2 linked regions of the Lepisosteus oculatus genome follow. The protein of the gene in region 1 interacts with the protein of each later gene in a pairwise test. Links are inferred from orthologs where the notes say so. Each region holds a gene or a part of one and is shown on either strand. Other genes may lie near its edges.

Region 1 (7,318 bases):
AACCTTTAACTACATGTTCACCACGACCCCTCGGTGTTCCACTTACTGCTCACGTTGAGCACAGCCCTGCTTCGCTCCTGGACCTGAGACTGGCTGACGCACAGGGGGGAGGGTCTCGCGTGCAGGGAGCTGTAGCAGATGGGAGTGGAGCACCCCAGCATGGCCTGAGGCACGCACACGGGGCTGGGGCTGGGGCTGTGCTGGCCGGGAGAGGGAGTCACAGACAGCAGCCCGGAGCTGCCCGGAGCCGGCGGGGAGGGCTGAGCTCTCTGATGCCGCACGTTCAGGATCCCATTCCGGGTGCGAACTGCAACATGGGCACACGGGCACACAGCAGGGGTGAGAGCTCCGATGAGCACACGGACACGCACGCAAAGAGAGAAGCGGTGCCAGACACCCGAGAACAAAGATCTGAAAGTACAGGCTGATACTGTAAATGTGCCAAAAGGCAGAGGGGAATAAAAATTCAAAGTCAAGAATGTTTGAGATTAAAAAATCATCAAATCTTTTTTTTTTTTAATATTGAAAGAGCCAGAAGCAATGAATAGTTACAATGCCAACAGACTGTGCAGGATCTGATTCATTATGAAACGATGGTCAATTTTAGCTAAGAAAACAATACAATATGCTTTTCTTTTCAATATGGGAACATCTGCGAATGCAAGACAGAACTTTCCAGAATGTCTGAGACCGACATGGAAGGAGACATTTATAAGAGGGTTATCATAAACATGCAGAGGAAAAAATCAGTTATCTTTTTTCTAAACCTTCAATTTCCCCTTTTCTCCTACAAGTCTGAGAAATCCATTTGACAGACTCATTATGGTATGAAAGACCTGTGGTTTCCTAAAATCTAAAATGCAGTGAAAAGATACCGGACAGAAAAAATAAACTGTATTTAAATAATAAAAATGAAAAGGCCAGCTTACATCTTTGGTTGTTGTAAATGCTTGGAGAGTTCTGCATACACCTAGTGAGAGCAATAGACATCATTAAGCCATCCTGAAAAACAGTTTTGCTCAAAAACATCTTTATTCATTTTACATTTCACTATTCTCATGCCAAGATAATATCTGACAGTCCTGCAAAATTTGGAATGTGTCAAATTATAATATTTCATTTCTTTAGAAATGGGATACTTATGACAGACTCCCCGGTTCCTAGTTTTAAATGTAGTTTCAACCTACGTCCTCTGGTTAATGCGTCACTCTGTTCAGAAGAATTCCACTGGGATGGGTTTGTCAATGCCTCTTTCTGTTGAAGCCTACAAAGCTTCAGTTCTAGTCTGTCTGTGTAGGGTGTACGCTGGTCCAGCAATGTATATGGTTACTCTACCCTGGACTGGTTCCTGAGCCATAGTAGTTTTTTCGTAACACAGGTGACACAAGAAATTGTTTGCATGATGTCAGGAGCTCATGACAGTTTATCTACAAGATTTTCTTCCATTCTGCAGCTCTGGTAAAAACACCGCTGCTGCGACAGTCTCCGGGAGCAAGTTCTTATGGTTGCATATCCTGAAACAAGAGGCTCCATTTACCCCCACCCCCAGAAATCCAGTTAAAGTTTCCTTTTACCTGATCTGATTCAGAGTGAAATCTAATTTCCTCCAGAGCGACGTCATCATAGCAGGTACCTGTGACTCCTGGCTGCATTCTTGACAAAAAAAAACAGTTGTATATTAACAAAACATGAACATATGAAGCTCTGAGTCTGAAGTTATTTTAAAACCTCCAGTACTTGCCTTTTGCTTTAATGGCAACGTATTCATTCAGAATGGTGTTCAGGTTTTTCCCAAACAAAGACTGCAAAGACAAAACAACATGATAAAACAGAACGTAGGGAAACATAGGATAAATCTGAGCACACTGCTCAGATTAGAGATGTCTAACACACTGTGTATGCTGTTTTCATGAAAACAAATCTAGCACATGAAACGCAAGCTATTTCATTCAGACAGCTAATGAGAGCTTTAGGTACGGTGAGACTTTCGCAGAGAATAAAGAGTGAAATTTTGCATGTGCATGCCATAAGATGCCGAATTTCCACAAGTCTTTCCATTACAGCGTACAGGGGCGAGGGGCTCTGCTGAGATCGGACAGCACTCACAAACACGCAGGCAGGAATCGCTCCGTCCTCGGTGCTGTGCTCCGCGTACTCCTTCAGGTCCGGACTCTCGCTGATGAACGCCCGGCAAGTGGCAGTCAGGCGCTCCTGTTGGAGATACCCTTGGCGCACCCCAGAACAAACAAGCACTCGGTTTACTTCATTTACTGGAATTTCAAAGCAATATCAACTCACCAGGGCATGCATCCAAAAATACACATCCTTTGTCAATAAGCGAATTATGCACAATTGTTCGGACATGACTGATTTCTGATAACGTCCTTGCAACTGAAATCTTGGCAAGGTCATAAACGCCACTGGAATACTATCAAAATCTGACATCTGATGTACTGGACATTTTTCCCCAGTATTAATAATTTCGTCACAGTCGTTATGGAATTTGACATTAACACGTACCTGGTGTGTAATTTAGTATTTTAGGTGGTAGTACTCCGACCACCGTTGTTTCAGACAGCTTACACCCAGTGGTATCGATATCATGCATCAAATATTATATGCAGTGCTTTCTGTTATCTACACAGTGAAAGACACGCTCTTTAGCTAACCATGCTCTTGTCCCCCAGATACAGGCTCTGGTACAGTACGTGTTGCAGGGGCCCTTTGTGATCAACACAGCTCTCAGCTGCGACCGCAGAGCAAACTCCCCGGCTACACGCCTGTGTCCCGCAACAGACCCCGCTGCGACCCCTCCAACTTACCCAAAACCAGCCTCGCAATGTCAGATGGTAGCAACATGGCTGTTGTGAAGCCTTTTCAACTGGCCCTCATACGCACAGTCATGAAAGAAAACCGAACAGCACACATTTGAGCCGTTATACTTTTTCTCAGCTCAGCTGAACACAACTCCCAATAACACCCACCCGCAGAAAAAGCGCGGAAATTCAGCACGTTTCACCCGGAAGTATTCGCCTAAAAGGCTGCATGGGAAATGTAGTTCGGGTGTTCGGTCAGTCAATGTCAGTACGCGAGACAGGGTTACATGGCGGATAATGTATTAACATATAGTAGCGCTCTTGGGTTCAGAATATTATATAAAACGTTAATTGTGCGTAACAATGGAAACTGGCATAAAATAAATCAGAGGTCCAAACAGATATTCTGTCAGTGGAAATGTTTTTATCAAAAATGTTATTGCAACAATAATATATACAATACAGACAAGAGTTTATATACATAACATCGTCAGGGGTACATAACACAGCTGCATTTTACAAAATAATTAAATGAGATAAATCAAGGTACGCACAGATTGTATATTCTTACGCTTATAGCAAAACGTCTGGAGACATGCTGTGTTTTGAACTGTTCAAATGGGGGTCTCTTCCCAGACCGTTTAATTTTATGTAAGTGTCATGATTAAATTTATGACAAATGATATGATATTCTGTATTTTTTTCAACGGGATTAAAAATACAGTGGCAGTGCGTTTAAAGCTCCAGTCTGCAGCTCCTGCACCAGAGACCCCCTGCCTCGCTGGGACTGGGGAGGCGGAGCTATCTCAGGAACTGGGGCCGTGATTGGCTAGCGGAACCGCCCGTCTTCGCAACGACCCGGAAATGAAGTTGAAGTTGGGGAGGCGCGGTTTGTGTTTGTATTGCTGTGCGTGCTGTGCTGTCTTTATAGTGGACAGTACTTGGGATTTAGTTTAAGTGAACGTCAGAACACGGCCCTGTCGTGAAATAAAGAAAGCTATATAAGGAGGTATGTGAATAGGTACCCAGTTCCCAGCGATTTTTAGATGCGGAGAATCATTTAGTAGTTTAAGATGATTTGACGTCAATTTTAATCAGACTGCATAGCTAGCTTACTTTACTTTAAAGTCTGGATCTTGATCGTATGTTTTTGGTAATACCGTGCAGATCTAAACAAGTGTGTGTAGCTCGCTTGTGATTGTTGAACGTGTACACCTAGCACGGTCATCGCCGATCTATTCTGAAGGCAGACGGGGACTCCTGGACTTGAAGCACCTGAAGCAGTGCTACTCCTGCTGTAATACTGCGTTCTCCGTCCGGCTGGTGTGGAAGGTCATCAGACGGCAATGTGGTCCTCTCATCGCCCGTGTGCGCTGTAGATCTTAGCAGGATCTCAGGGACTGCTCCTTACAGCTCAGTGGGATGGGGGGTTGGGCACTTTAAAAAACGAAACCAAAAACGTTTAAACTGCATTAATGTGAAACCCTTATTAATGGAATGATTTATGTATAGAATCGTTTGTGTTTGTGATCAGAAGGCATACTTTGAAGGGGTGTAATGAATCAAAACAGGCCTGTGTCTGCAACCCGCCCCCCACACACGCTTCTCCAGTTCGATTCTGTGCTCCTGCACTGTCAGTGCGGCGTCAGTACTCGACATCGATTCCCCTGTCTGCCTCTGCAGGCCCCCAGTGCAGCGCCACCCTGAGGACAACATGAGCCTGTTGCTGCATGAGCTCCTGATGTGCTGCCGTGGGCTGGAGAGCGACAAGGCCACGGAGAGGAAGGTAGATGCGTTCACCTCTGTGCAGGACAGGGGCGTGAGTCGCTCAGGAGTGACCAGATCACTTCAGTGCTGATGTTCAAAGGTTCAAAGGTTAATGAGGAAGCTGAAAAAGTCTGAGAATGTAATAAGCTTTCTTTCATTCATACATTTGTTTTTAAGTGAGTAACTTTTGGCATTCCTATGAAGCATTTTCCCTGACATAATGAGTGTTTTGACAATAGTGTGGATTTGATGTATTAAACAGCTGTAGATTAAACAATCAGTTGCCACTAGCAGAATGTTCTTAGGAGTCCACCTGTCAATGTTATTTTGCAGAAAGAAGCGGATAAATTTAAGCGGCTCATCGTGTCTCCTGAGACAGTTGAGGCCCTGGACAGAGCCAGTTCTTCAAGAGCAGCGAAGGGTTCCAAACAGCTCACCTGGGATGCTGTCTTTGGGTAGGTGCTCTTAAAATGAGCCCGAATGAATGACCGTGTGTGATGAGTTCATGCCGGTCTGCTCCAGGTCGCATTAGTCACTGAGGATGTTTCCTGTGTGTTAGTTGTGAAGCCTTGTTGTGGATTTTCTGTCACACAGCCTAACTGTGCTGTGCACCCACCCTTTCGCCGATTTGGTTTATACACACACGCAGCCCAGCAGTGCTCCTGTCTGGAACAGTGCTCACAGGGAGTCCTGGAGGTGCTCTGTTTGTAGCTGAGGGGGAATGCCTTGTAAAATGGCGAAGATGCACGTAAAGCCTCTTGCACAAGCCGCAGCTCTCACTGGCTCGTGTAGAAGCCCCAGTGCGCTGTGCTCCTGTGTTCTTGCACTGTACTGCCAGGGCAGCTGCAGGGTCTTACCTGCTCTGTAGCAGAGCAGCACAAGCAGGATGGCGCCTCTGCTGGCCTTGCAGGAGACAATGGTAAACCCACGAGTGACGGCCAGTGTGTAGTATTCTGAACTTGTCAGAAAACAAAAGCCCAGCTCCCCCGTTTTTACCACCAGGCTCTCAGTCGTGTGAGCGGGTCGCGATTTCAGCGGTCTGGCCGAGCGTAGTGACATCTGCAGCGAAAGGGGTGTTTAAGAAGCCCCTGCTGGACGTGCGGTTTAGAAATTGGATGCTTTAATTAACTGCGGCCCAGGCGAATCTGACAAAGCAGCGGCTCTCGTCCCTGAAGGGTTCTGCGCCGGTACGTGGAGAGAGAAACGGAGGCGCTGCAGACTGGGAAGGCCAATGTGTCCGCCACCACACAAGCAAACAGGCACAAAAAAATGCAGGAAGTCAGCAGCTTGCTCAAATTTTTCATCAGATGTGCAAACAAAAGTAAGTGACCATGTTTTAAGTCAACACAGATCTTTGGCAGCTCATTGACCGCTTGCTTAATCTCCTGCCTCCTTTCCCTGCCCGTTGTTCACACATTGGAGCGATTGCCTTTCGCAGGAGGCCCCCGCCTGAAGTGCACGGACCTCCTGGCTCACCTGGTGGGCGTCCTCAGGAGCTCCTTCTCCTGCAGTGCCTATGGAGAGGACTACAGCAGCATCCTGCTGAAGGACATCCTGTCTGTCCGCAAGTACTGGTGTGAGGTCACACAGCATCAGTGGGCTGGTAGGTGCCTTAACCAGCACCTGAGCTCCACTCCATTAAGTGTGTGAGCCCAGACTAATATATTCCCCATTCCGACTTCAGCTCAGCAGTCAGGGTGGAATTAGAGTCTGTACTTGGAAAGATTAACAATGAAATAGAACTGCTGTGCCGTGTTGAAGTGCTGATTCCCTGTGTTCTCCTGTCCAGAGCTGCTGGAGGTGTATTGCGGTTTCTACAACAGCAGCTCCAGTGCCATCAACCGCGTGCTGGTGAGCAGGATCATCCACACCCTGGTGAGGGGCTGCTGCCTGCAGACAGAGGGGCTGGTGCACAAGCTCTTCAAGTTCTTCTCCCGAGCGCTGCTGAACGCCAGGTACCGCACCTCGCTGCTCCGAGGAGAGCCCTGCCCTGCGGTCCGTGACGTCTGAGCGTGTGTTCTGTGCCTCGTGCAGGAGGGAGAAGTACCTGGCTGTCCTGGAGCACCTGCTGGCTGCTCTGAACATCTTCCTGAGGGCCTCGGCCGTGAACTGCCGCACACGGGTCTGCGGGCTGGGGGAGGAGCTCCTGCCCTCTGTCCTGTGCGTCTGGGCCCAGCGGCGGCCGCAGGACCTGCTGAAGGAGGAGATCGTGAGGTTCTTCCACCTGCAGCTACGCGTCCACCATCCGAAGGGAGCCAAGACGCAGGCCACAGGTGAGACCAGGCCGTGGCCCACCAGTCCAAGCAGATTTCCAGTTACCTTCTGCTTTGTTTCTGCACATTTAGTTTTACTCTTAAACTTTAAGGTAAGCTACTCTTAGCTTCATGTCCTGGTATATTTAGAGGGCTTTCATGAAATTTGAACCTTTAAAGGCCAGGCTGGAATACTCTGACTGTGAAGACGCCAGGAGCTCAGGTGCTGCAGAGTCCCGGAGAGACTCGTGTGCCCTGAGTGGGATCTCCAATAAGCTGTTCCAATAAGAGGCCACGCTGGGTATGATGTGAAAGAGGGTGTGTGTACAGTATTGGCCTGTCTCTTTGATGAGCCTGCAATGGATTTGATATTTATTTTAGCTTCAGCCGCAGTTTCACAATGTATTGGCATCAGGATCTTTGTCACAGCCAAAGCAGTGGACTGCGAGCTTTCAGGTGCTGTGAACAGCTGAGCGAGTGGGA
Region 2 (7,198 bases), on another chromosome or scaffold:
GAACCGGCCCTTGAAGGTCGCCTCGCACTCTGGGAGGACAGACAGACCACCATCAGGCGCGCAGGCCGGGGCCCAGTGGAGACGCCCCCACCTCCGCAAGCAAAGAGAGAAAAGCAGAGAGACTGAGCGCCAGCGAACGCACAGGAAAGCCTCAGGGAATCTCACCCTCACCTTTCCACCCACAGCGCAGCACAGGCTCCTCCTTGCTGGTGGACTTGAGCTCCATACACAGGCCGTGCATTTCCACATGGCGGTAGAACCATTCCGGGTTCTCAAAGGAGGCCTGCTAGAGAAAAGTAAAAACAGTTCGTATGATTCACGCTGTGGGCAGCCTCACTTAACTCTGTACGGCAGGGTCTCAAAATCTGCGAGGGTTCAGTGCAGAGAACATTAGCTAACAGCCACGTTCACATATAAAAGTTACCAAGTCCACTCCTATACTGCCACATTATGTACTACAAGATATAGTTTGTAAGATTAAAAGACATAAGGTACCCTTCCATATACAGTACTGGCTTTAAGTTAAAGTAGCTCGGATGAACTAAAGCAAACAACAGTAATCACAAAATTATAGTAATCCACTAACATAAGCAACATGAATCCCTCCTCTGCATTCAGTGGATGCCTGCGCTTTCTCTCTCGGCCCGTGTCAAGAAAAGGGCAATAAAACTATCAGTGAGCTTGTCATCTCCAGCCTGTCATTCCCCGCGCTGCATACAAGACCTCGTCGGCCAGACCGAATCGTGAGCTAGCGAATTTGCAAATGTTAAATTTGCAGGTGCCGAGACCCTACCATACGATCCCTCTTCTCTCATGCTGCAGGCCAAGTCCCACCATCCCACAATCTGCTAGGCTGCACACACTGTACTCCTCCCCCCTCCCACAGCCCCTTAGTCCCTGCTCCCCCAATCCCTCGGGACAGAGGGATACATCCCACCTCCCCTCCTCACCTCACAGTGCTCCCACTGGCACAGGAATTTATCCAGGATCTCGGGGACGATGTTGCGGTTCTGCAGGTCCAGGGTGCAAGTGCCCAGGTCGGGCTGGCTCTTCAGGATGCTCTGGCCCCACTGCTTCAGCTTGGTGTGGTAGCAGTGGAAATAGATGTGCCTCACCAGCTCCGTGGGGTTTTCCAGCGAGCAGAACCCACAGTCCCGCCACAGACAGCTGCGCTCCTCTGGAACAGGAACACCAGCAAACACGCCCCGCGTGGGACTGTGAAACTCTCTACCGAGCATTGAAACCCCAGCTCCACTGGAACTGTTTTCCTTTCACCTGCACACTCCGGCGAGAGATCAGCCTTATTTTAGTGAATTCTATATCCAGCTCTCATCAATTTAGATTTCATAAAACATTCACTATTTTAACTCTGCATTACAAGCCTTTTATTCAGACATCAAGTGCGCAACAGACAAAACTGTAAAAATACAGTTAACCGGTTAAACGCAAATGTTAAAACCTATGGAAGCTTTTTAGCACCACAAGAGAAAAATATACTAGTTTAAACGCAAAATTGTTTCTCATTTTAAAGCAATGTTATCTCATTTAAATGCATTTTTTCCCCCCGTGGCACCAACAAGCTTCTGTAAAAAATCTTCTTCAAATCTAGATGCTGCTGTGAGATTTACAATCTTCTCCACTGATGGCAGAGTTGTCCCACATCTCTCCGAATTACAATGCCTTTACAGATCACCCAGTAAAAGAAGCACCTGGTATGAGACACTCCCCCTTCCCAATCCCAAAATCTCACCCAGCATCTCGCTCTCCTCGGCCTCCAGCTGCAGAGATTCCAGATGTTCCCCCACATGCTGACAGAATTCCTCCATCCTGGTGAAAGTGGCCTGGCACGGTCCCCACTCACAGCCCAACTGCACCTCTTCCCTCCTCGCACGCTTTCCAGGAGCCATCACATCTGGGCCCTGGGAAGAGCAGAACCACCAGCCCATCAGAACCGAGCTCTGCCGGCAGAGGGTCGCACGCAGCTCTTAATCGTGGTGCCCATATACGTTCACTAAAACATTAGAAACTTTCCACGACGATGTCAGATTAAGTTAATTGCACATTACTTTGCAGTTTTAAGTTGTTTATATGCTATACTTCAGCACTTTAAACATTAGTCGTCCGGATTAAGCGCATATATTTTTTAAAATATATATATATACAGTATTTCTTTTCCAATAGACGAAAAGAACAAGTCTTTTAATAACTTCCAACAAACCCTCACTTAAAATAGATATCGACGGGAAAGTATATTTCCCTGCTGTATTCATTTGTATTGGAAAGTCACACAATTCACGAGTTTTTGGGATTAGGGGTGAAAATGATTAAAATCCCACATTACACGGTTGGTTCCACACCAGAGACCGCCTGATTTTGTCAAATGCAGCACGATTTCTTAATAAGGAAGTGACGAGCCGTACTGTATTGATGTTTTACGGAAAAATAAACAATAATATTTCTACATTCTACATACTATTTTAGGCATGCTTTCCTAAAATTTCGATGCTTAATGCAAATGCATCCAAACCCTGATATACGCGATTCTAAACTACTGTACAACATCGCATTATGGGCAGATTTATCAAATATTGTTAGCTGCAGAAAACCTGATTTGAAAAACCGGTTCTTTCCTTACGGCATGAATGACTCATTTCAACACGGCGATATGCACGTTTGCATTCAACAATCGAGAAACCCCTCTCTTAATGCTAATAAACATTATTTTATACAACAGAAGGAAGTTTAACTTTTAAATCGTGTCAGACCCTCGCCAGAGTTATAAGTAACTCAATATTATCGTGAGGGCATTTAGGTACAACGGAAAGCACTTTTGACCACTATGCAATCTCTAAGAAAAACGTTTACGTGATATAAAATCACATAATTGAAAAGGGAAAGCCAAACTAAATATCAGATGCTAAAAAAACAACATTTCCAGTTCCTACCTCCACCTCACTTCAAGTGTCCACCCCCTTCTCCCGCACAATTCAACATTGACCGACTCCCACTTTCAGCTGTAACCAATCGTGTTTGAAAGCTTATCGTAACTGGCAAACGCCCTGTCCAATGGGAAGGTGCATTTAACTGCTGCTGTAGCTAATTGGATAAACCGGATACATGCTCAGGACCAATAGAAGTCTTAGGAAGGAAAACAGTACGTCTGCTAGATTTTCCCCCCGAGAAACTAGGGTCAATGAATGTGATTGAATGAGGTTCCCAACAGCTTTATTATTATTATTATTATTATTATTATTATTTGAATTAACATCATTAGTTGAAGAACATATTCAAGAAAATGGGGGTTGTACTGTGTGTGTTGTCCCACACATGAAGTCATGAATTGGGCGAGAAATATCGGGATTGATGAAATCTTTTCACGAAAAAACTAATACGCGCTAGCAAGTGGTTAACTTGTGCAATGCACTGCCTTTCCAAGCGTACCGAGCACGGGTTTCAGGAGAATCTTTCAAATGGAAACCCTCACGGGCAACATATGCCTGCTTATTAGTCTGCCAAGAGAAACTGGAAAGTGCATCAACAGTGAAAAGCAATAGAATGACAACTAACTTGGTCATTTAAAACGTTACAATATGGACAAGTGTTAAAAAAATCTTCAAACTGATAAGATAATTGTATTGACAAAATTGAAAATATGCACTGATGTTACTTAAATGGTTTCAGATATGTTGAAAAGCCAGTTTCACACTGTACTATATTCTGCTCCTTTGCCTGGGTTCTACCAGGTTTCACGGGTTATCTTAGTGAGTAAAACCTACAAACGGTGCTAATACAGATCATCTCTTAGTTTCAGCTGATTTGAAGAAGGCCATTAAGATTCCAGGGTGGAATGAAAAGCAGAAGACATGTTTCCCCTCCAGGACAAGGAGTGCATTTCAGCACTGTAGGGGTCTGGTTTTTAGTGTGCCTGAACTACATGCAGTACAGTTAATGCTCCATGTGACCACTTTATTCTAGGTTGGTGATCTGTTGGTAGTCAGGGAAATGCATATATTACTCAGGAAGACTTTTTAACTGCAAAAGTGATATTCTGGCATTTGAGAAGTGGCTGGATACGATTTTCAGATTACTTCACTGCAAACAATCAGGTCTGCACAGTGGATCTTTTGCTTGTAAGCTTTCCTGCGATACAGCTGCCAGAGCCAACCAGTTCATAATGCCTGTGAAGTCTGGCTTTCTGGAATGGTTTACACCTTGGGACCTTAAACTATTTAGGAGGTGGGAGGTGCCGAAAGCCTGCAGTTCCCTTATCCTGTAAAACCTGGAGGCTCCTGGATTGCCAGTTAGATAATTGTTCTGCTGCTTGTACTTGTAATGATCTAATGAAACAAACTGGATCAATAGAACACTTTTCACAGGTCTGCAGCTGTTGATAACTGCTTGATTCAGGTCCTTGATGATGATGATGACGATGATAATAATTGCTTACACTTATATCTGTTTCTTACTTACAGTCATTCAATGGGGTCAAATGGACTGCATATTCATATTCAGTGTTGTTTGCGACTCAGGACGGCGCAATGCTCAGTAAGATGTTGGAGACTCATGATTGTAAATGTTTAGACAGAAGCCTGTATTCCAAGGATGTCCAACACCTGGTCCTGGATGGTCACTATGCTTAGGTTTTCTGGATCTCTTTAAAGAAGCAGCACCTACAGTATAAAGCTGAAAGAAGCTGTTAAATTGGGCGGCCTTACTAAGAAACTAGCTGATTGAGCACTTTAAGACCTGAGCTGGAGTGAACACCAGCAGATCCTGAACCTCCGGGATCAGGATAGAACAGACCTGCAACAGTCACTGGGCTGGTGAAGCTGCAGTCAATTCTACACGTAGAAGTGGCCCAGATCCTCAAGGGTTAACTGGAAGGGATACTTACAGTAGCACAGAAACCATACATCATGGGGGCGAAGCATTTCATTAATTTCTTCATGAGCTAAATATTCAAGGTGGAAAAGGTCAAAAACACAAACCACTTTAAGGTGATTTGATGATGCCTTCGTTATTTCTAACATCTGTAATGTTTTTTGTTTACATACCACAGCGTTGTCGATTTGTGGCAGAGCAGGAGAAGGCCAGTGCAGCTATAGGTTTTAATTCCAGCATCTCTCACCTATGTACAGCCCCTGATTATTGACTTAACTGGACTAATGCCAAGGCGTCTCCCAGTCCAACAGGTCACGCCTAAGTGTGTTAGAGAGCCAGCGGCCACACAGACCCTCCAGGAGCTGCACTGGTCTAACAGAAGAGATGAATGCCCCAGGTCTGACCGCTTTTCTGTATATCTTAAAAAGATACAAACTGGAATCCAGTTGTAAAAACTTTAAGATCTGGGCTGGCAATGCATCGACATTAGCAAAGGACACAGAAGATGAAGACAACATACTCAAAGCATATAAATAAGGTGATGAATGTGCAGAGCACATTAGAAAAATACTTTAATCCAAAATTAGTATGATACATTTTCTAAACTCATAATTTTATGGCATGTCGAGTTTGAAAATCTGTGTATACATGCTGGATGGTTCCCATAACTAACATTTTCTGTTTTTATCCCTAGTTGTGGCCACCCATCTGGATACGAGATGGAAAAGGGCTGTTAGTAGGCCACGCCGTCATGTTTTCACCCAGGCGTGTGACTGACTCAGTCTCTTATTCCTGGACTGCTGGGGGCTCATCTTGGACGACAGCAGTCAACAGAGACAGACCTGGGACGAAGATGGCACAGACCCAAGTGTAGGGTGGGGGGTCTAGATTAAGCCAGACAAAAACAAAACCCTTCAGGACTCACTTTTATTCCAGCGGTTTGATAGGCAGGTTTCTGACTTCCTTCTTTAAGCTGCAGGCGCCAAAGTCCAAATCATCTCATGACATCTAAGTTCAGCTATGAGCAAATTGACTTGCGAGGACAGAGAGCAGCTAAGAACATTGCAACGACGTCAGAAACGTACACCACACTAACACCCGATCAGGAACAAAGATACAAGGAGTAAATAAAAAATCAAACAAACATAAACAACATTCAGGATTTTCACAGTAGTAGACAGTTACGTTTTTCAAACAAAAAAAAAAAGACAAATGTGGATTTTTCTCTTCCCAACCCTTTCCCAGGGGTCCCTCTGTGTGGCGTCTAGACGTCGTAGAAGAGGCGCACCAGGTGGTAGCGGATCCCGAAGGCCACGGCGCTCCCCAACACCTGCATGGGTCAGAGGTCATCCAGAGGTCAGGGGTCAGAATGACCAATTGGGGGAATCACGCTTCCTCATTAAGACTGGGCTAACACACTTTAGAGGCGAATATGGGGGCAATTAGTATTTAAACCGGGGTGATGAACTCGGATCGTTAGGGGCTGCAGGTTTTAATTGGAATCTCTTAATCAGCAACTGGTTAAAGCTGGGAGCAACAGTTATTGTGAAAAATTAAGCACTCAAATCAAGTTATATATATGTGGATTCTAATTTAAACAGTGAGGAGGCCTAAAAACAGGTGTTACAGATGATAAGATTTAGCTGTTTTACTTTTAACTTCACCGTTAGGTAGCCCTGGGAAAAACATACCATCTGAGGCAGCTGCTTACTTATTTAAATCCACAGTTTTTTCCTATCATCACCTTAATGCCACCTCTGGCGTGCTGGCTCAAGCACTGTATTAATTATAAAGCTTGCAGGCTTCCGTCAGAGAACCCCTAATGACATAAATGCCCAGAGTTTGAAAGGGATTGTAATCAGGCTACCCAAAATGTCCGTAAATGTGTATACTGTAGAAAAAAAAATATGGGGTTAATATTAAGGAGTGAGGAAGATGCATTTAACTTACAAGTAGGAAGACAGCTGAATGAAAGGAAGGTTAAATAGGACACAATCAGAGAGAGGAACCTTGAATGAGTGACACTGTCCCCAGCCCCTAGGTCACCTGTATGAGCAGCATGATGACAGTGAGCGTCCTCTCATGCAGGGGGCCCAGCACCTTGATCACCAGGTTGATGAGAGTCATGTTGTTACACTCAATGAACTCGTCCTCCCCATCCCCACCTCTTTGCACCTCCACCAGCCACACCACCTCCGCTCCCTGCAGGACAGAAAAGGGAAACTGCTGGAGACTAGGAAACAAGGTACACGCTACAGAAGGTCTGGAGAACTGCTAGGCCTTGGGGGGCCCTCGTGAAACGATGGGCCCTCAGTCC

The links. The genes of interacting proteins can lie anywhere in the genome.
Region 2: the proteins of npat (region 1) and hinfp interact in a two-hybrid assay, tested with the Homo sapiens proteins (2 studies listed by BioGRID). The link is inferred for Lepisosteus oculatus from reciprocal best matches to the Homo sapiens genes NPAT and HINFP.

What each region holds. Positions count from the first base shown.
Region 1 is NC_090700.1:683,942-691,259, forward strand, and holds the start of npat (protein NPAT), read right to left. Parts: upstream 3,005-7,318; 5' UTR 2,860-3,004; coding exon 2,823-2,859; intron 2,226-2,822; coding exon 2,107-2,225; intron 1,803-2,106; coding exon 1,742-1,802; intron 1,654-1,741; coding exon 1,575-1,653; intron 971-1,574; coding exon 930-970; intron 308-929; coding exon 47-307; intron 1-46. Other genes in the region: serine-protein kinase ATM, read left to right, coding at 4,531-4,602, 4,917-5,038, 5,759-5,904, 6,022-6,186, 6,373-6,538, 6,618-6,856. UniProt on the Homo sapiens protein: Required for progression through the G1 and S phases of the cell cycle and for S phase entry. Activates transcription of the histone H2A, histone H2B, histone H3 and histone H4 genes in conjunction with MIZF.
Region 2 is NC_090718.1:11,533,479-11,540,676, forward strand, and holds the start of hinfp (histone H4 transcription factor), read right to left. Parts: upstream 3,004-7,198; 5' UTR 2,946-3,003; intron 2,928-2,945; exon of another isoform or gene 2,636-2,927; intron 1,920-2,635; 5' UTR 1,908-1,919; coding exon 1,751-1,907; intron 1,178-1,750; coding exon 951-1,177; intron 287-950; coding exon 172-286; intron 30-171; coding exon 1-29. Other genes in the region: dpagt1 (UDP-N-acetylglucosamine--dolichyl-phosphate N-acetylglucosaminephosphotransferase), read right to left, coding at 6,146-6,211, 6,928-7,083. UniProt on the Homo sapiens protein: Transcriptional repressor that binds to the consensus sequence 5'-CGGACGTT-3' and to the RB1 promoter. Transcriptional activator that promotes histone H4 gene transcription at the G1/S phase transition in conjunction with NPAT.